3 linked regions of the Schizosaccharomyces pombe genome follow. Changing the gene in region 2 together with the main gene of any one other region gives a genetic interaction. Each region holds a gene or a part of one and is shown on either strand. Other genes may lie near its edges.

The links. Genes that interact genetically often act in the same process or in processes that back each other up.
Region 1: of pds5 (region 2) and eso1, a mutation in one rescues a mutant of the other (synthetic rescue), as found in Schizosaccharomyces pombe (3 studies listed by BioGRID).
Region 3: mutations in pds5 (region 2) and mis4 are lethal when combined (synthetic lethality), as found in Schizosaccharomyces pombe (3 studies listed by BioGRID, with this or other methods).

What each region holds. Positions count from the first base shown.
Region 1 is NC_003423.3:4,276,336-4,281,663, reverse strand, and holds eso1 (mitotic cohesin N-acetyltransferase/DNA polymerase eta Eso1 fusion protein), read left to right. Parts: upstream 1-2,010; 5' UTR 2,011-2,072; coding exon 2,073-4,691; 3' UTR 4,692-4,775; downstream 4,776-5,328. Other genes in the region: ale1 (MBOAT family O-acyltransferase), read left to right, coding at 139-1,668; SPOM_SPBC16A3.12C (triglyceride lipase-cholesterol esterase), read right to left, coding at 4,776-4,913, 4,965-5,314. UniProt on the Schizosaccharomyces pombe protein: Probable acetyltransferase required for the establishment of sister chromatid cohesion and couple the processes of cohesion and DNA replication to ensure that only sister chromatids become paired together.
Region 2 is NC_003424.3:1,910,087-1,916,401, reverse strand, and holds pds5 (mitotic and meiotic cohesin loader subunit Pds5), read right to left. Parts: upstream 4,555-6,315; 5' UTR 4,361-4,554; coding exon 743-4,360; 3' UTR 505-742; downstream 1-504. Other genes in the region: Rho family GTPase Cdc42, read right to left, coding at 15-83, 247-294; serine/threonine protein kinase Ppk1, read right to left, coding at 5,063-6,315. UniProt on the Schizosaccharomyces pombe protein: Required for the establishment and maintenance of sister chromatid cohesion during S phase. Prevents their formation until eso1 is present. May also have a role during meiosis.
Region 3 is NC_003424.3:391,100-398,857, forward strand, and holds mis4 (adherin Mis4), read right to left. Parts: upstream 5,841-7,758; 5' UTR 5,791-5,840; coding exon 5,682-5,790; exon of another isoform or gene 5,643-5,681; coding exon 5,447-5,642; intron 5,404-5,446; coding exon 4,068-5,403; intron 4,025-4,067; coding exon 3,557-4,024; intron 3,513-3,556; coding exon 1,729-3,512; exon of another isoform or gene 1,689-1,728; coding exon 1,553-1,688; exon of another isoform or gene 1,514-1,552; coding exon 857-1,513; exon of another isoform or gene 817-856; coding exon 739-816; 3' UTR 529-738; downstream 1-528. Other genes in the region: pre1 (proteasome core particle subunit beta 4), read right to left, coding at 1-74; ATP synthase complex assembly protein atp25, read left to right, coding at 6,610-7,758. UniProt on the Schizosaccharomyces pombe protein: Plays a structural role in chromatin. Chromatid cohesion molecule required for equal sister chromatid separation in anaphase. May form a stable link between chromatids in S phase that is split rather than removed in anaphase.

The DNA.
Region 1 (5,328 bases), on a different chromosome or scaffold from region 2:
CTTCACCAACACCAAACTCTGGGTACAATCTTCACTGTACATTCGTGATTAAAGAATAATCGATTGTTGAGTGTTTAATATCAGTTGTTCAATTCAAAGGCATTCCCAAAGCAGGAGACAGTATTGTCTACATTAACAATGGCTTATCTTATTGATATACCATTTGAATACTTCTCTTCTTTCCTTGGAGTCCACCCGGATCAGCTCAAGTTACTGTTTTGTTTTCTTTCAGCATACCCGTTTGCCGGCATACTAAAAAGACTTCCTTCGGCTCCATGGATTAGAAACTTATTTTCAATAAGCATAGGTTTATTTTATCTCATTGGTGTTCATCATCTTTACGATGGCGTTTTAGTTTTGCTATTTGACGCTTTGTTCACATATTTCGTGGCCGCGTTTTATCGATCGTCACGAATGCCATGGATCATATTTATAGTAATCCTTGGCCATACATTTAGCAGCCATGTTATTCGGTACATTTACCCTTCAGAAAATACTGATATTACTGCTTCACAAATGGTACTATGTATGAAGCTTACAGCGTTTGCCTGGTCTGTTTACGACGGTCGTCTTCCTTCAAGTGAATTATCTTCTTATCAAAAAGACCGCGCGTTGAGAAAGATTCCTAATATCTTGTATTTCCTTGGATACGTATTTTTCTTTCCCTCATTACTTGTTGGTCCAGCTTTTGATTATGTTGATTACGAAAGGTTTATAACCCTTTCTATGTTTAAGCCTTTGGCTGATCCTTATGAAAAACAGATAACACCACACAGTTTGGAACCAGCCTTAGGTCGTTGCTGGCGAGGTCTGTTGTGGCTGATTTTATTTATTACCGGAAGCTCAATCTATCCTTTAAAGTTTCTACTTACACCTAAGTTTGCTTCCTCCCCTATTTTGCTAAAATATGGATACGTTTGCATAACTGCTTTTGTTGCAAGAATGAAATATTATGGCGCATGGGAACTTTCTGACGGTGCATGTATATTGTCAGGCATTGGTTATAATGGCCTGGATTCTTCTAAGCATCCTCGTTGGGATCGAGTGAAGAATATTGACCCTATTAAGTTCGAATTCGCAGATAATATCAAATGTGCTCTTGAGGCTTGGAACATGAATACCAATAAATGGCTTCGAAATTACGTTTATTTGAGAGTTGCAAAGAAGGGAAAGCGTCCAGGGTTCAAAAGTACGCTAAGCACATTCACTGTTAGTGCAATGTGGCATGGAGTTTCTGCTGGATATTATTTGACTTTTGTTTCCGCAGCCTTTATCCAAACAGTTGCAAAATACACGCGTCGCCATGTTCGCCCATTTTTCCTTAAACCAGATATGGAAACTCCTGGGCCTTTTAAGCGAGTCTATGATGTTATTGGTATGGTAGCAACAAACCTCTCTCTCTCCTATCTAATTATCTCTTTCCTTCTTTTGAATCTAAAAGAATCAATACACGTTTGGAAAGAGCTATATTTTATTGTGCATATATATATATTGATAGCTCTGGCTGTGTTCAATTCCCCAATAAGGTCGAAATTAGATAATAAGATACGATCCAGAGTCAACAGCTATAAACTAAAAAGTTACGAACAATCTATGAAATCCACTAGTGATACGGACATGTTAAATATGTCGGTGCCCAAAAGAGAAGATTTTGAAAATGATGAATGAAGGATTAATTTGCTATGAGGTAGCATCATATGCAATAAATTGAAGCATTTGAATATTTTGCAGCTTTGTTAACAGCAATTTCATCTTAATTGTTCATCATATACAATACCTTTCATGGCGGCAGTATATTCATTGTGTTTATATATATGTTTACATATTAAAGTAGTCTCTTAAATAAAATTCCTGAATGTTTTCTCTCAATTCAGTTTTTAAGTTTAACATCTAATTTCCTTTGATGATTTATTTTGGTTACAACATTATGAGAGTTTGAATTTATTTTGCTTTAGTATCTGGTAGTAGGTAACGTTGCTATATCTAGTACCTTAGTCCACTAAATTCAACACGAACGCGCTATAGAACTTGAGCGATTCTTATTAAAGAACTTTTTTGAGGGTATGAACTGAATGGAATTAGGCAAAAGCAAATTCTCTTGGAAGGACTTGCAATATTGTGATAAAGCAGGTACACAAAATTCACCGTTAAGGGTTGTAGCTCATATTGATCAGGATGCTTTTTACGCTCAAGTCGAAAGTGTTCGCCTAGGATTAGACCATTCAGTTCCCCTTGCTGTTCAACAATGGCAAGGGCTTATTGCTGTAAACTACGCAGCCCGTGCAGCGAATATTTCACGCCATGAAACAGTTACTGAAGCAAAAAAGAAATGTCCAGAGCTTTGTACCGCTCATGTAAAAACTTGGAAAGCTGGGGAGTCAGAGGCTAAGTACCATGAAAACCCAAATCCTAACTACTATAAAACCTGTTTAGATCCTTATCGGCACGAAAGCGTTAAGATTCTTAACATCATAAAGAAACATGCGCCTGTGGTTAAGAAGGCTAGTATTGACGAATGTTTTATTGAACTTACGAGTGATGTTAAACGGATTGTGTTGGAGGAATATCCTTACTTGAAAATTCCCTCTGAGGACTCAAATGTTGCTTTGCCGCAGGCTCCAGTGCTACTATGGCCTGCTGAGTTTGGAATGGTCATTGAAGAAGAAGTTGTAGATAGAACGAAAGAAGATTATGAAAGGGATTGGGATGATGTTTTTTTATTTTACGCTGCAAAAATCGTGAAAGAAATTCGCGATGATATATACTTGCAACTCAAATACACGTGCTCAGCAGGAGTTTCTTTTAACCCAATGCTTTCAAAGCTTGTCAGCTCGCGTAATAAACCAAACAAGCAAACTATTTTAACGAAAAATGCAATTCAAGATTATTTAGTGTCATTAAAGATTACTGATATAAGAATGCTGGGCGGAAAATTTGGAGAAGAAATAATTAATTTATTAGGAACAGATTCTATTAAGGATGTTTGGAATATGAGTATGGACTTTTTGATAGATAAGCTTGGTCAAACTAACGGTCCACTCGTTTGGAATTTGTGCCATGGAATTGATAACACTGAGATTACTACACAAGTTCAGATTAAATCAATGTTGTCGGCTAAAAATTTTTCTCAGCAAAAAGTGAAGTCTGAAGAAGATGCAATTAACTGGTTTCAAGTATTCGCATCTGATCTTCGATCACGATTCCTTGAACTTGAAGGAATGAGAAGGCCCAAGACCATTTGTTTGACTGTTGTATCAAGATTTCTGAGAAAGTCAAGGTCAAGTCAAATACCTATGAATGTTGATATTAGCACTCAGTTTATTGTTGAAGCAACATCCAAACTGTTGCGTCAACTGCAACAGGAATTCGATGTATATCCGATTTCAAACTTATCTATTAGCTTTCAAAACATCATAGAGGTTGATCGTAATTCTAGGGGAATTGAGGGTTTTTTAAAAAAGTCCAATGATGAAATCTACATGTCTACTTCTGTTTCACCTTCTATTGAGGGACGCGCTAAATTATTGAACGAAAATATGAGGGAAAATAATTCTTTTGAATTATCTTCGGAAAAAGATATAAAGTCACCTAAAAGGTTGAAAAGAGGTAAAGGTAAAGGGATTTTTGATATGCTACAACAGACCGCTGTTTCTAAACCAACGGAGAATTCAGCTGATGAAACTTACACGTGTGAAGAATGCGAACAGAAAATTACTTTATCCGAAAGAAATGAACATGAAGATTATCATATAGCTCTCTCCATTTCGAGAAAAGAACGCTATAATAACTTAGTACCGCCATCCCATGATAAACCTAAGCAAGTAAAGCCTAAAACATATGGAAGGAAAACCGGTAGCAAGCATTATGCACCTTTATCCGATGAAACAAACAACAAAAGAGCATTTTTGGACGCATTTTTAGGAAACGGTGGAAATCTGACACCAAATTGGAAAAAGCAAACGCCAAAAGCAATTTCCAACAGCTCAGACAACATGACCCAGTTACACTTAGATTTGGCTAATTCCACCGTAACTTGTTCAGAATGTTCTATGGAGTACAATTCAACGAGCGAAGAAGATATTTTGCTTCATTCTAGGTTTCATTCTCGGGTTCTAGGAGGTGTTACTGTGTCCTTTCAATGCTCTCCTATTTATCGCGTTAACTATGGTTTGAGTTCCGATTGCATATACAGCATAAATTCAGAAAGCTCATTAATTGATCAAAGAAAAGCAGAGGAAGCTTTATCTTTCGTAAATAACGAACTTTCAAGTGAGCCTATTGAAACAATTGGGGTAGATAAATATACCACATTTCTATTCATATCAGATAAGAAATGTGTCGGATTACTTCTGGCAGAGCGTATATCTTCTGCATACATAGTCGATGAACTTGAACTCAACAACAACAATAGCACCTCTTCCGCAGTATATATAAAAAACGAAAATCTACGAAAGGGGTTTGTATTGGGTATTTCCAGGATTTGGGTATCAGCTTCAAGACGCAAACAAGGGATAGCAAGTTTACTATTAGACAATGCTTTAAAAAAATTCATTTACGGTTACGTTATATCGCCTGCAGAAGTTGCTTTTAGTCAGCCTAGTGAAAGTGGTAAACAGTTCATTATTTCGTGGCATCGTTCTCGAAACAATGGTTCTTCGAAGTCACTTCGATATGCTGTTTATGAAAGTTGAAAATAGTCTGACAAAATTAAAGTTGTTCTAAATATCTATCTAAGCGTTATATAGAAGTTTTTTTTTTAAATTATTAATTAATCATTAATGAAAACCGTTTTGTTTAACGAAATGTTTGGCTTTGCCTAATGAATGATGCTTAAGGGCATCTATTACAACTGGGAACACTTCCTCTTTAACATCCTGGCCCCATAGAAAGTCAAGATGTTCATAATGAGCAATCTAACTTATATTAGCATATTGAGCAACAAACCTATAAAATAAAAGGCTTACCGAAACTTCCTTTGCATGGGGAGGAAGAGCAGTTCTCATTACTTCCATATTGATCAAAGTATCTTTACCTCCCCATAGTATCAGCATTGGGCATTTGATATTATTCGTAGGAAACAGAGGAACTTGGTAATGGCGTGAACCATATCCAGCTAGAAGAGCCATATCGTCGTCATAAAGCTGGAAAGTACAGTTTTTTATAATCTGAAGCCAGTGAACAACACTCTTTACACTTGAAAAAGAGTAAAGATGTGCATAACCGCAAAGTTTTTGATTAAGAGAAATGTTGGATAGGTCCCAGTTGAATAAAATTTTAAGGGATACATCGACAATTTTTACAAAAATTGGGGGATCTGTAGAGTAAGCA
Region 2 (6,315 bases):
CTAATTATACTTACATTATCGAATACAGTTGGCACATAGTCACTAGGAAACTTGTTTGTAGTATAGGAAATAAGCAGACAGGTCTACATTCAAACGGTCAGTATGTGTAAAACTCAAAAGAACAATTTTTGGAAAGAAAGAAATAAAGGGGAATGTATAGACAAAAGAAACTTCATTTTAGATGATAGCAATTCTTGTATTTTTTTATGCATTGCTTAACTTCACCTTCCGTAAACATCAACTCACCTTTCCTACAGCACCGTCTCCTACTACGACACACTTAATGGTGGGCATACTATTTCACAAAAAATAATTAATCGTAAAGCTTTGCTTCACTTTATTGAATTCCTAGAAAGTTCAAACCCCTAAGTATCAAACACCGGTGTTGGTTGTAGGTAAATATATTGTGCGGTCACCGTAATTAGTTCGCCCAGCCATGCTTTATTAAGATATACTACAGCGGCTAATCCAATCTCACTATTAGATTTTACGAATTGTAAAGCGTAAAAAAACTCAAAAATGCAACTTTTATTATTATATTACTAGGAATGAAAAAAATTAATAGATGCAGAAGTTATGGAGGCATGTATGTGATGGAGTCATCTTTCAAAAGTTTAGGCAATTAGCAAGCATAGATTGTTTAACAAAAAAGATAGCAATTTATCTAATTAACATTGAAAATTCATTGGTAATATTGGGTAAGTGTTCTAGTATCGGTATTTCGCATCCAAATAAGCCTTTTTTATAAATCCTCTATTTCATCAAAATCTTCTTCGCTAATTTCCTCCTCTTCTTCGCTTATCTCCTCACTTGAAGACGGTGCTTCCGAATAATTTATACGAATCCCTTGAAATCTTGAGCTACTTCGTTCTGGCACGTTCCTAATATTAGGATTCTGCTCATTTAGCTTTCTCCTTTTTTCGTTTTTCCTTCTTCTAGACGATTTTTTATCGCTCTTTGAGCTATGAGTCTTCTTTTGCTTCAAATTTGCGTGCTTATTGGTAGTCTGTTTCGCAAAAGATGAGACTGGTGTCCTTATAGCATGTTCAATCTGACTTTCCATTTTAGGCGTTATGAAGATTTTATTGAAAATTCTCTTTTTCTCATCTATAGAGGGAATTGGTCTTAAAATTTCGTAAGGTAATTTAATTTGCTTTGGATACGTAGTCAAACTCCATCCAAAGTTCTGGGATTTCACCTGCAATATTTTCTGAGCCATGTCGCTTAGCACATAAATGTAATTGTTTCCATCTTCAATAACATCATAGCTTTGTTTTATGCGTTGCATTAGATGAAAAACGATTGGGACGTTCTCACTATTAACAACAGTGTCAACGTAAAAGCGAATGTATGCAATAAAATCAAGCGAGTTCTCTGATTCTATCGAAGATATGTCTGGATGGTGAGAGAGAAGATGGATAAGATATGTTGCTACATATTCCATGGTAAAATCATGGGTTTTCTGGAAAAAAGCAACCTGAGAACGTATCCATATAGACGCTTTAGTCTTGATCTCCTCTTCCGGATCAACAGCAGTCAGGAACAATAAAGGATAATAACTAATTGGCAACTTTTTAAGTTGCAGCTGCTTCTGAAGCTTCGTCAAAAATAAATTTCTCACGTCAAAATTTTCATCTTGGCATAATAAGGAGATTTGAACGTAAGAACTAAAATCTATATGTTCCGCATAAAAAGGAATGGAACATAACTTTAAAAAATATTTGCTAGCAGTGAGACGTAAATAAGCACGAGAAATTTTGGGAGTATTCTTGAACGGACTTAATTCACCGTCAGCCATTAACAATACTTTCAATAGCTTAATGATAGGAGCTCCAATATTTAACGCTTCGGTTCCTCCTGCCGCCGCCCTCAGTCGATTAACCAAAACCCTAATTGCTAAAACTTTGCACATGGTAAGATTATCTAATTTTTCGTAAGTACACCATTCCTCATCATTATGCGTATCATCATATTTTTCAGGAAAGCGCTGTATAACTTTTTTTACTAAAAATTCTGTAACTTGGTCAGCAACCTTCTCTACCTCTTCTAAAGTGTATAGAAATAGTTGTCCTAAAGTCATAAGCCGTACAGGAAGTCCTCCATTATACTCCAAATTTTCCACGATATTCGTTATCATATCGAGTTTGAATTCTTTCGTCTCCGTTATAGCGATAATCGTCGCTGCCTGTTTGGCTTGTTCCTGTGTTCCATGTAGACACAACTTTCGTAGTATTTCAGCAGTTGTTGTTTGTATAGAAAAATTTTTTTTTCTTTTGGAGAATTGGGAAAGAGCTTTAATTACTTTAGGATCCGATTCAATGCCCGAAGAAACTATAATATTTTCAACTTCTATAACAACCTCTCCATATATGTTGGGATGAATTAGCGGTAAATGCTGTAAAAGAGCCTCCGACGGCTTAAGGAAATTGTGGTATTTTACAGGTTCATTTAATAATTGAATTATTTCATGCACGTTGCTTTTATTAAAAGCAAACAGAGCTGAACGGTAAACGAATATTCTAAAACATTCAAGACTTGCGGTACTCAACGTTTCAGAAACCCTTTTAAATAAATATTTTATGCTTTTTAAAACAACTTGATATTCACTTTTAATGGAAAACGTTTGTAAAAGCATTTTGTAGCTTTGACGATCATTAAGTTCCGCAAATTTTCTGAAAGTGGCTTCTGTTAATGTAGGATTAGAACTTTTTGATGATATGATATCAATCACCTTCTTAAGCTTGTTGGTAATTGACTCTTCATCATTATCCATAACACCTCCATTGTAATTTTTGCAGCACTCAATGTAGTAATTTAAGAGTTCCGAATACTTAACTTGTCTTTGTAAAAGTAGAATAAAAACTCGCATCGCTTTTTCACTAAAATACTTTATTGAAAGGAAAAGCCTGTTTAACCTTGTTTGCGTATCAGAACTAAGGTATTGTAGGACCAGTTCAGCCATACAAATTTCAACAGCCGCATTAGTTGTTTCATCATTAACATAAAATACTTCCAAAAGAGATGAAGGGATCCAGCTGAACATCTGTATTGAGTATTCCACACCATCTATAAGGTCTTGATATGCTCTATTATAAATTTGACTTAGTGTCCGAATTGCTTGTAAACGAACATTGAGTTTACGATCACGTAAACGGTCACCCATGAGTTTCAAAGCCTGTACTGAAAATTGCATTTTAAAGGTTTCGAAAGTCAACTGTTCGATCGTTTTAAGAGTAGCAACCCGCACCTTTTCATCCGTGTCGGCCAACTTTGATTGAAGCATTTGAACTACGTTTTCAATTATCTCAGAAGTAGCCAATGAATTCTGAAGAGCGTTGGAAGCAACTTCAATGCATTTGATACGACATGCAACTGATTTATCATTGAGCCGACCACAAAATGCACTCCATACCCTAGGATAATCGGACCATATGGCGTTGTCTTGGAGCATCAAACCAACAGTTTCTATCGCCACAAGTCGCACACTAGTTTGTTCAGCTTGCAATTCATTTTCGAATTGTGGAATAATGTTCAATAACGTGGTTGGTGCATATTTCCATAATTGTAAAACTAAATTGTGCGAGAATATAAATTCTGGAGTAGTCATGGAGTCAGAAAGCGAATCTCTTGAATCGAATATAATATCTGAGAAATACTGGCAAACATATCTTTGTAGTCGATCTGCTGAGTCATGAAAAATATTTCTCGCTAGTTGAAAAGCTGGACCGTGATTAGTAGAATCGGAAGAGCCAATTGTTTGCCTTACGCCCTTTCCTGATATTAGTTGAGCAAATAGTATGTTCAAGGCAGCAGCAGGAATGGTGTTAATCTCATTGATCAACTGGTTAATAATATCAAGCATGTAAAACTCGACATTCTTGGTAGTACCCTTTCTCGCTAAATCAAAGAAGAGACGAAAGATATTTACTAAGAATTCTTCAGCATTCGGGAGATCAACTATTAGAACTGCAGATTTAACGTTCGACAAACTCTCTAATATCTCGTAAATTTGTGGATAATAAGTAGATTCTTGATTCATAAGACCACTAAGAATTTTGAGAATTACTTGGAAAATATCTTCCAATTGTGATAAAGTGAAGGGCGCATCGGGGGCACATAAACGAAGCAATTCAACAATACAACAAAGTGTATAAGAGCGTATCCCTTTATCTTTGTGATGGAGCAAATTGTTATTTACTAATGATCGTGCTACTGGCAATACTGAGTCACGGTCGATAGTATCTTGGGATAGGCTAGTAAGCTCTCCTAGTAAATCACGTAGTCGTTTTAAAATCTCGGAAGTCGTTAACGGATTGTCATGTGTTGGGACAATGTTTCTTTGAAACTGTAACTTTATCATCGCAAAAGTTGGCTTTTGCACGCTTTTGTACTATTCACCTTGGGTATTTAACAAATAAATGACAAATGCAGTAAACTTTCAATGCTCTATATCCATAAGAGCCATAGGCTGATTTTATTAATTAGTACTTCGCAATATTGAAGCTTGAAAGATGCGATTTCAAAATGTGGTGCTCAACTCTTTATTACGTTCGTGTTAGACTCGCAATGTACTTGCTTAAAGAAGAGACGCGTAAAAGAACGCGTTCCATTTATTGTAATTAAAATATTACACTATTTACTAATAAGTATAACTCAAGGGTAATGATAAAATATTATTAACGAGTGAATTAGATATAAGGACATATGAGTGAAAGAAATTTAATAGTTTAAAAGTAGTTTAAAGAACGAAAGGTGCTTGTACCAAAAAATTAAAAATTAAAATAAAAAGTTAGAATAAAGATGAAAAGCGGAAACTGTAAAGTACAAGGCAAGTAATATACACGCTGATAAACGATAAAAATCAGCTAAAGCGTCTTTTTTTAGGAAACCCATTGTTCAACATTGTCAAACAATCAATTCAAGCTTTAATAATTGATAACCATATAAACCGCTTTTCTTAAGAAAAAGTCGAAGAGCCATCTTTTTAAAAAACTAATATAGGAAACAGGCAGTTTGATAATTATCATGCATTGTTGAGATATACAATATCGTAACGCAAACATTAAAAAACGGTAGCGTGTCTCATGTGCTGCTTCTTCTGCCCATACGCGTTTTCTTCTTTGAAACAACCTCCAAAAGTTAAAGGCGAAACTGCTTGAAGAATTAAAAATGAGTTTTCCGTATTGAAGGAGCTGGATACAGCCTTCTGTTTGGATTTCAATTTATTAAACAAGAATGGTATACGTGAACCCCAAAAAGATTTATCCGTCTTTCCTGCTAATAAAGCTCTTAAAGAATCTGAAGCACAATTTAATACACGTTTAGGAGCAACCATAAGGTTAATCTTGCTTTCTACTGGTGACAATGGGGCTTTCTGAGAAGTGGGCCTCTCAAACATGCTAAATGCACGCTTGTGTTGTTTCTTAGTTGGCTTATTTTTCATAGGAGATTCACGTGTTTCAACTTTGGCATGCTTAACCTTATGCTTGGGACGGCGCAGTAAAGAAACCAAGCGGTTTTTAGCATTATCGATTGGATGAAGAGTAGTAGAAGCATAGATACCATCTGCAATTGGTACAACCGGCCTCGTTGAGTGTTTAAGATTGATGCTGCCATGTAATGCCGGTTTTTCTCGATTTAATGAAGTTTTTGTGATCTGAGGAGTCAATTCAATGGAAGAAGAGTAAGTGCTGATTGACGAAACTGAAGAAACACTAGCTAAAGATTTTTGAGAAAGCAAACGGATGGGAGACGGACGCAGTGAGGTCGCTTCATCATCGTTATACGTTTCAAATAGAGACACATGAGACCGGAGATATGCGTGATTCATAATTGCTGACATTCGGACACGTTTTGCTGGATCAGGAACTAAAATTTTTTTAAGAATGTCGCGAGCTTTGCTTTTAAAGAACTCCGGAAATATTAAAGGAGTACTGCAAATATACCGATAGAGTCGAGGGACATTTTCTCCATTTGGATTGTGTGGATCATCGTCAAATGGTAGATACCCAGCCAACATTGCATATAAAATGACACCGCAACTCCAAATATCTGCTTGTGTGCCAGCATACATTCCAGACTTGCAATTCACTAATTCAGGGGCCGCATAACAAGGCGATCCACATGATGTACTAAATAAATCTGGCTTTTCCGTGGGCAATGAGTGTTCACTGAGAGTATTAAAGTGCCCAAAAGTAGTCGCAAAGCCGAAATCCGCAATTACGATATTTCGATTAGTATCTAGCAATATATTCTCCAACTTCAGATCTCTATGTACCACTCCTCGAGAATGTAAATAGGCAACACCACTTATTA
Region 3 (7,758 bases), 1.5 Mb from region 2:
ATTCCACGAACTGCTGATGATGATGAAGCAGTGAGTACAAAATCCTGACCCTGAACTGCCAGTAGTGATTCCATGGCTTTTGATGGTGGTTTGGTAAAGGTAAAGTGTTGTGCTGAGCTGAGACGTTTAGTACGCTAACGAGATGCCAATGGAAAACTATAGGCGAAATCATTCACTCAATCGTTTAAATGTCTGTGTTTTAGAAATAGCTTTTTTTCTTTTTTTTTTAAAGGTTACCGCCGTTGTAGTGTAATCGTAGTAGCACGTTTATCTCTTCGTGCTTACTCATGTACTTTGAAAATTCAATACTCTGACAACATATAAATATCCTGATTTGAATATTACATTCAAAAAATAAAAATTTGGGACGATACAAGTTCCTTTACTATTCTAAAAATGATTGTTTCTTATTATTAATAGTTAAAGAACTAGCAGTGTCATTTAACAGTTATGTCTTAACATCTAATTAAAAGGATCTCAAGCTGTTTACTTGTTACTTATTTAAACAATAAATGAAAAGAATGTCTTATTGGTATTAAATAATGCATAAATGAAATTTGGAGCGAGTTGTATTCATGGTTCAGAACTTTTAAATGTTGCTGCCTATTATTGTGAGTAAAAATCAAATTGGATAACCTGTTTTTTCATAAAAAAATATTGATAACCCATATAAAATAAATATTTTTGAAATATACTGCTTGAGAGCTTTTTGATTTTTTTTTTAATCCCTTTTTTCATTTAGACAACTGTAAGCTGTTCCCCTTCAACTTGATCCTCGCCAGAAAGGATATTTTCTTCTTCAAACAATTTTATCACCTAAAACAGTCAGCAATTTGGTTAAGGAACTTTAACTTACCAACTTAGAAACAATATCTGGCTTAGCATCAGAAGTAATTAAATCCACATAACCTCTATTCAAAAGAGTTAGAGGCTTTTTCTCACGTATAGGTCGAGATGAGTCTGAAATTGAAAATGCGTATTTTATATATCTCTTAAGATATATCAAATTGCACAAGTTGATACCTGCAAGGATTTTAAAACGTTCATGATCTAGTTTTTTCATCCACCCAGTAATAGTAGGGCCTATCGTCGCGAGCACCGAATCAACTGTTGAAATGATCATTAACGGTTCCTCTATTGACACGTATGGAATTCCTGCCAGACATACACAGCAAAAGCTTACAAATGAAACTTTTTCTTCTGTAAAGCTGGGTAAATCAATCCCGTCGAGTTTAAGAGGTTTTAATATTTGCATTATTAATTTTTTCCTAGATTTTGAACTTTTATCAGCGGAGACAATGGTATAGGCACTTTGGAACGGCGAAAATTCGCCTAACTTAAATGTTTGATATTCCTCCGTTTTTTGAAGGGAAAATATTAAATCTGCAGATTGAGCATATAAGCCATCTATCAAAGATTCATGTCTTCGGTGCAATTCAGTGTGAAGCAAAATTGCTACTTCTCTGGTTTCTTTAATTGCATTGGATTCGAGTGCTATTATGGTTGAGAAACACTAATTTAATTAGTAATCAAAAAGTAAAAAGTGGCATACCATGCGTGGGTTTACTAGTCCTTGATGAATAATACATTTGAGAATTTCAATTCCGAGCATTGAATACCTTAAATTTTTTGAAAAGCAAGAGTCAAGAATACAGGGAAGGAAATGCTGCATTAAAGATGCACTGACTCTGCATTAAATTAGTGATAGTTTGTTTATAAAATACATACCCTTCAATCCATTGTTTATCCTTAGTTCCTTTAAGCATATCTCGATCAACTGATTTGTTGGACTGAACGTTTTGCTTACCCTTTAAACTTAGCTTTTGATCTGCTTCAAAGATAAGATCCTCATCCGCGGCCAAAAGCTCAAGAAAAGATTTAAACAAAACAGATACTTCGTTAACATTATTTTCCGCAATTATCATATCCAAAGTTGATAACATAAGAGGAGATATAAACAAAGATGTTTCTCTTAAACATATTCTGCTCATGTTATCAATTATGTGAATTCTCAGCTGACCTTTCGCATCTTTTAGAAGTTTCTGAAAATAACCTAATAGTATAACGTAAGCATCATCACACTCAGGACTAATAAAATCAAGTGAATGTTTCCAATCATCATTTATTCTATTGAGATCCCCATATCTAGAAAAAAGCCCAATGAGGTCTATTAAGCGAACCATTTTTTGAAAATTGTTTTCTGAGTGTCGTGCCTCCTCTAAAGATTTAAGACACGAAACCACAATTTTCTTTAACCTTTCATAATCATTAAGTCTTGTAAATAGGCTGCAAAGACAAGGAACTATTTCCATTAACGTTGCAGTACCGGCTTTAGTAAGCCTTTGCAGTAACACAGATTCAAGGCTCCGTAGGAAGCTTTCAGAAATTTCTTTTTGAAATGGTAAAACCTGTCTAAAAATAGCTACTACATAGTAAAGAAAACGTTGCTCTTCAATAGTTGAAGCAGATCGTAAATAGGGTTTTAAGAGGTGTAGATAAGACAAGTCAAAGAGGAAGGGAAAAGCGCGTGAAAAAACAAACAATGTACTCATTATTTCGTATAAAATTCCCTTTGTTGATTCATCAACTTGATCTTCGGTTACAACTTCTATTAGCTGATTGAAAAGACAAGAGAGAAGAAGTCGAATTTGAGTGTGTAGTGTACTCAAATTGATCTCTTCCTTAGAAGTCAACATGGTTTTCAGAGACGTTACCAACAGGACGTGTCTTTCGGTTGATGGTTCAGCACATAGTTTTAAAATAGGAAAATACTGAACTCTTAACTTCTGCTTTTCTAAGAAAGTTAATTGCTCATAGCCTTTTTGACAATCTAATTCATTGCTTGCGGGTGAAAACCAAAGTTTTTCTAAAACCTCAAGGCTTAATTCACTGATTGTTTCCTCTTCATCATTACTCCGGGTTAAAAGTTTTGAAGCTATGTCAACACGGATATTTAAATCTTCGGTAGCTTCATAAACCTCACATAGTTGCTTTATAGCGCGTTTACGAACGATTGTTGAAGGATCCGAAATTCCAGAAATTATACAACCATATATTTGAGGAATTGTCTCCCGATATGCCATGATATATGTGCCAAGTAAGTCTAACACAGTATCTCGAACTATCGCAGACTGATCATTCGATTTTGATATTATCTGAGCCAAAACTTCTGGATGTGTTCTTAATATAGAAGGTATAGTTTTCATTTGATTGATGATTCGAAGGCATTTAGTTCGAAGACTAGCTTGAGGACTATCGAGAAAGCCTATAATGAGCGAGACAAAAAACTTTAAATTTAAAAACAAAGAAGAATGATAAAGGGATATAATGAAAATATCTTCGTCATTTTCATCTGCTTTAAATGGTGAAGGACCTTGAAACCCCTCTTGAGACTTTTGCATATTCTTATCGATACAATTATCAATAATTTTTAAAGCTTCGGAGTCATTGCATACTTTTCTAAGCTGTAAGAGAAATGAAAACCATTTATTGTAGTTATAAGGGAGTATGTTCTGTAAGTTAGTATATAATAAACAAGCAATTAACTTTCACTTACTTCCAGAGATATGTCACCTTTGCATAAAAAGTAAAAATGGTTAAAGCTAACTTGAGAAAGTTCATTTAATCTAGTAATTGAGGGAATGAACGATATTATATCATTGAAATTCGTAGGAGCTGGGATATTGTGCTTCTCGAAAAGGGAAAGATCAAACAATGCCAAAACCTTGTTAACGATGAGACTTATAAGATCCAGCGCAGCATTCTTTGAAGAAACTGCTTGTTTGTCGTTAGTCACAGTCATAACTAAATTCATTGCAAATTGCCGAATAATTGTTTCGGTTCCGCACCATTCAGGCAAAGAAAGCATGTTTAATAAATCTTCTAAAAGGATTTTGGTTAAAATTGCAAATGAGTTGTCACTCTCCGTTTTATTCTGTTTTAAAGAACGACTAAGCAAATAAGCAACAATATGATTAGCTATCCGGTATTCTTCATGTCGAGACTTGGATAGTATTGATTCGACCTACACGTTAGAAATTGATTTTTATTTAGTGTTCATTACATACTGTTTTCAGATGTTCTGTTAAGTTACCTGAGTGTAAAGCTTCAGTGGATTTGCTCTCCGATTGTACAATTTCTGAGTCGAATAAGTTTTGAATGGAGCATGACTGAATTAAACGTACAAATAGGGTTGAATAGTATTGTATGGATTTACCGTTAGAGAGTCTATAGGTCCTTGAGACCGAACGAGCAGTGGGCAAGTGAGAAAAATTTGTAAGTGATTCTTCAATGATAAAATCTCGCTGATAAGGATAAAGACGAAATAAATATTGTAACGTTTGAAATAAAGGAGCTTTAAGAAAATCGAAGGATGAGCTGTTACAGTTAGGAAGTTTAGTTTTGAAGGAATTGTCGAGTGTAGAGACTTTGGGAAATAAATATACAATGCGTATGACCACAGCTTCCGACAAGGGAATTTCATGGGCAACTTTAGATAAGATGTTTAATACATTTGCGACTTTTTGTAACAAAACTGATAGATGTTGAATTTCAGAAGTCCTAGCATCGGAAGTTTTTGATTGAACGATGTTATCAATCGCTTCAGGAACTGTGTACTCAAATATGGAATGTAAGATATTAAGTAAATGAAGAATTGATTCTTCATTTTGAAGCTTTTTAAAGGAGGGGACCAGAAATATTATAAAAAGAACAAGAGCAGTGGTCTTTAAAATAAAGTCTAAATTCGGAAATTGTGTGAGGCTGTCATGAAGATTAATTATACTGTAACAAGCGACAGGAAGCTCTTTTAACTCTTTCTCAAGGATTTGTTTTACAAGTATTATACTCCCTTCTTCCAGCAATTTGTCACAAGCTCCCAAACGACTAAGCTTGGTTAATGCCATATATAGCTTTTCAATTGCGTGCGATGAAATGTGTTTTCCATCATCGTCTTCTCGTTTAATAAAGAGAGAATTCGATGAAAAATCTTCCGAATTCTCAGCTTCTATAACTTGAGAAATTAGTAATCTGGTATCTTGCAACTGCTTTAACAAAACGTCCTGCAACCGCTGGATCTTTGAGGGAGATTCACGAGGCGAATAAGTGTCTTCCATAAGTCGCTTTTTTGGGGTAGTAATATCATCTTTAGATTTTTTAGGGCTACATAATTGAACAGCGTTAAATACGCGAGAACATGATGGACTTCGAGGACTTGAAGACGGAGTTAAGAAGCCATTGTCGGAAGATGAACGGTTTGTATTTATAGAAGAAGCATCAGGTTTCTCCTTGGGTTCACACATCAACATACTTGGCTGAATCAGAGATTTTGTAAAATCATTTAATTCACTTAACGAGTCACTGTTACACACCTTTTGGTCTAGGACCGGACTGGCATTCACCCTCCTTTATATTTGTCAGATAAAAAACCTCAAAAAATTTAACTTACATTGCGGGCATTGCAGGTTCCGTTATCATAGCGCTAAGAGCATTTTTATAAAAATTAAAGGTTTCAGAATCGTTAACGAATGTTGCGCCAGGATTTAGCATATCCACATATCTTTGCATAATACTTGATTCTTCGGAGTTAAGTTGCAATGGCTCATTTTGAAATTTAGAAGATGGATATAATACGTTTTGTAAACCTATGTAAATTAATAGACGCGTTCAAACTGTATGCATACCATTTTCCAATGGGATTGATGATGCTAATGGTGTGTATTGAAGCCCTTTAATAATTCGATTAGAGGAGTTAACTTTTTTAAAGGTTTCAGGTGTCATCTCGAAAAGCATCAAAACATTGCAAAGCTAAGAAAGGGAAGTATTTATCATTAAATTCATTCATCTAAAAACAAAGAAACGTCGGTATATATAAAGCGTAAACAAGTTTAAGGCAATAGACCGAAACGGGAAAATGCAATTAAGATGTAAGCTACGCAGTTTGGTATCTGATTTAAGGATACGTAGAACTGCGGTGAGTTTTCCTTGTGATCTATTATATTACAATACACAGGTTGTATAAGTAGCAACTGAGTATAGGTATTGTATTAACTGGGTTATAATGTTACCTATCACTAATATAGCTCATAACTGAACTGAGGAACGAGTTCAGCAGTAGCTCTATTTATAGTATTCAGATAATATAGATCTTAATAGATTATCATTAAGATTAATTTCCATATCGTATCATAAATGGTACGATATATAATTAGAACATGTGACATATAGTGATACGCAACGTAGTGTATCATAGCGTAATGTAGTATTGCTGACATAAGAAACGTTCGTACATTTCGGATATTGGTGATTACGTATTTCTACAGTGGAACACTATTTAGAATCGGTCTCTTGGTTAGGAAAACGTGCCAAGGTCATTAAATATTTGGTTTTCTCCTAATAATTTGCGGTCTTGTTTTAAAACATACTAAATATTTTTGTTGCTTTAATCTAAGTTTTATCTATTACTATTCAAACAGAAGACAATGTCTTCATGTTATACTGTGATAGAACAGCATTGAGAAATTCTTTTTTCGGCTTTATAAGGTAACACTTCAATTATATTAATTCTTATATTTTTAATGACTGTGCTGAGATTTCATATTTTATTAAAAAATGCCCACATATCGCTTTAATTATCTACGTTTCAACAAACTATGTGTTTCCTTTTTTCGAAGCAAATTTGACAAACGACCTTTCGCTTCTCAAAAGTTTCCTGAAAATTTAGTTCCTGATAATTCAAGTAATGACGCTAATTCGCAACCAGAGGAAGTCTCAAGCAAAAAACCATGGTATGTGGATGAAAAACATAATCTATTTCCTAAAAAAGCGCATTTCGATGCGGTTGCGCTGCCACCTATTCCAAAAGGTGCTCCAAACTTTTTAGCTGATGTGTTAAACCTTCTTAAAAAGAAGTATTATGCCACTGATCTCAGTTTTGTTAACTCACCCGCCGATTCTTTTTGGTGTGATTCAGATCTTATTTTACTAGCTTCTTGCAACTGTGGATCTGAAGTTGTATCCGCTACTAATGGCTTACTTCGCCTTTTAAAACAAAAAAACGTTGGACCGGTGAACGTAGATGGCCTTACTAGTGCATCTCGGAGAAAAATTTTAGAACGGAGAATGAGGAAACGTTCCAATTTGTCAAACCGACAATTAAACACGTCTGAAAATAATTGGACATGTCTCAGTATCGAAAACTTCGGCATAAGCATTCATGTAATTACAAAAAATTTTAGGGAATACTATAAACTGGACAATATTGAACATGTTAAGGATGAAACTTTGTATTCTGATCTCGAACATGGCAAACAATCTAGGGTCTCACTCACTAGTAAATCTACACCTGATAATTCTTTACCTCCAAATTTTATTAATAACCACTCGAACGTATTTCGGAGAAGTTTCCATACTTGTAACTTTTCTTTAAAAAGTGCCGCATCCCTTTATTGCGATACCCAGGATATCTTGTTAAACGTCAATTCACAAAATCTGACGAGTACTTTGGAAAAATATAAGAAAATGCATCTCCAAAATCCTAATAATTTTTCTTTGGATTTTACTCTTTCAATTTTTGAGCGACTTCGAAAAGATTCTTCTTTGCAACTGACTACAAAGGATATCAATACGCTTTTCAGTACTATAGCTTTGTCTCCAACAAAGTTGAGTATGGCTTCTAAACACTCTAAAAATTTGGTTAGTGAGCGGATGTTGTATCTTTCACTAATGTATAAATCTTTAGTCGATCTAAAAACCATCGAT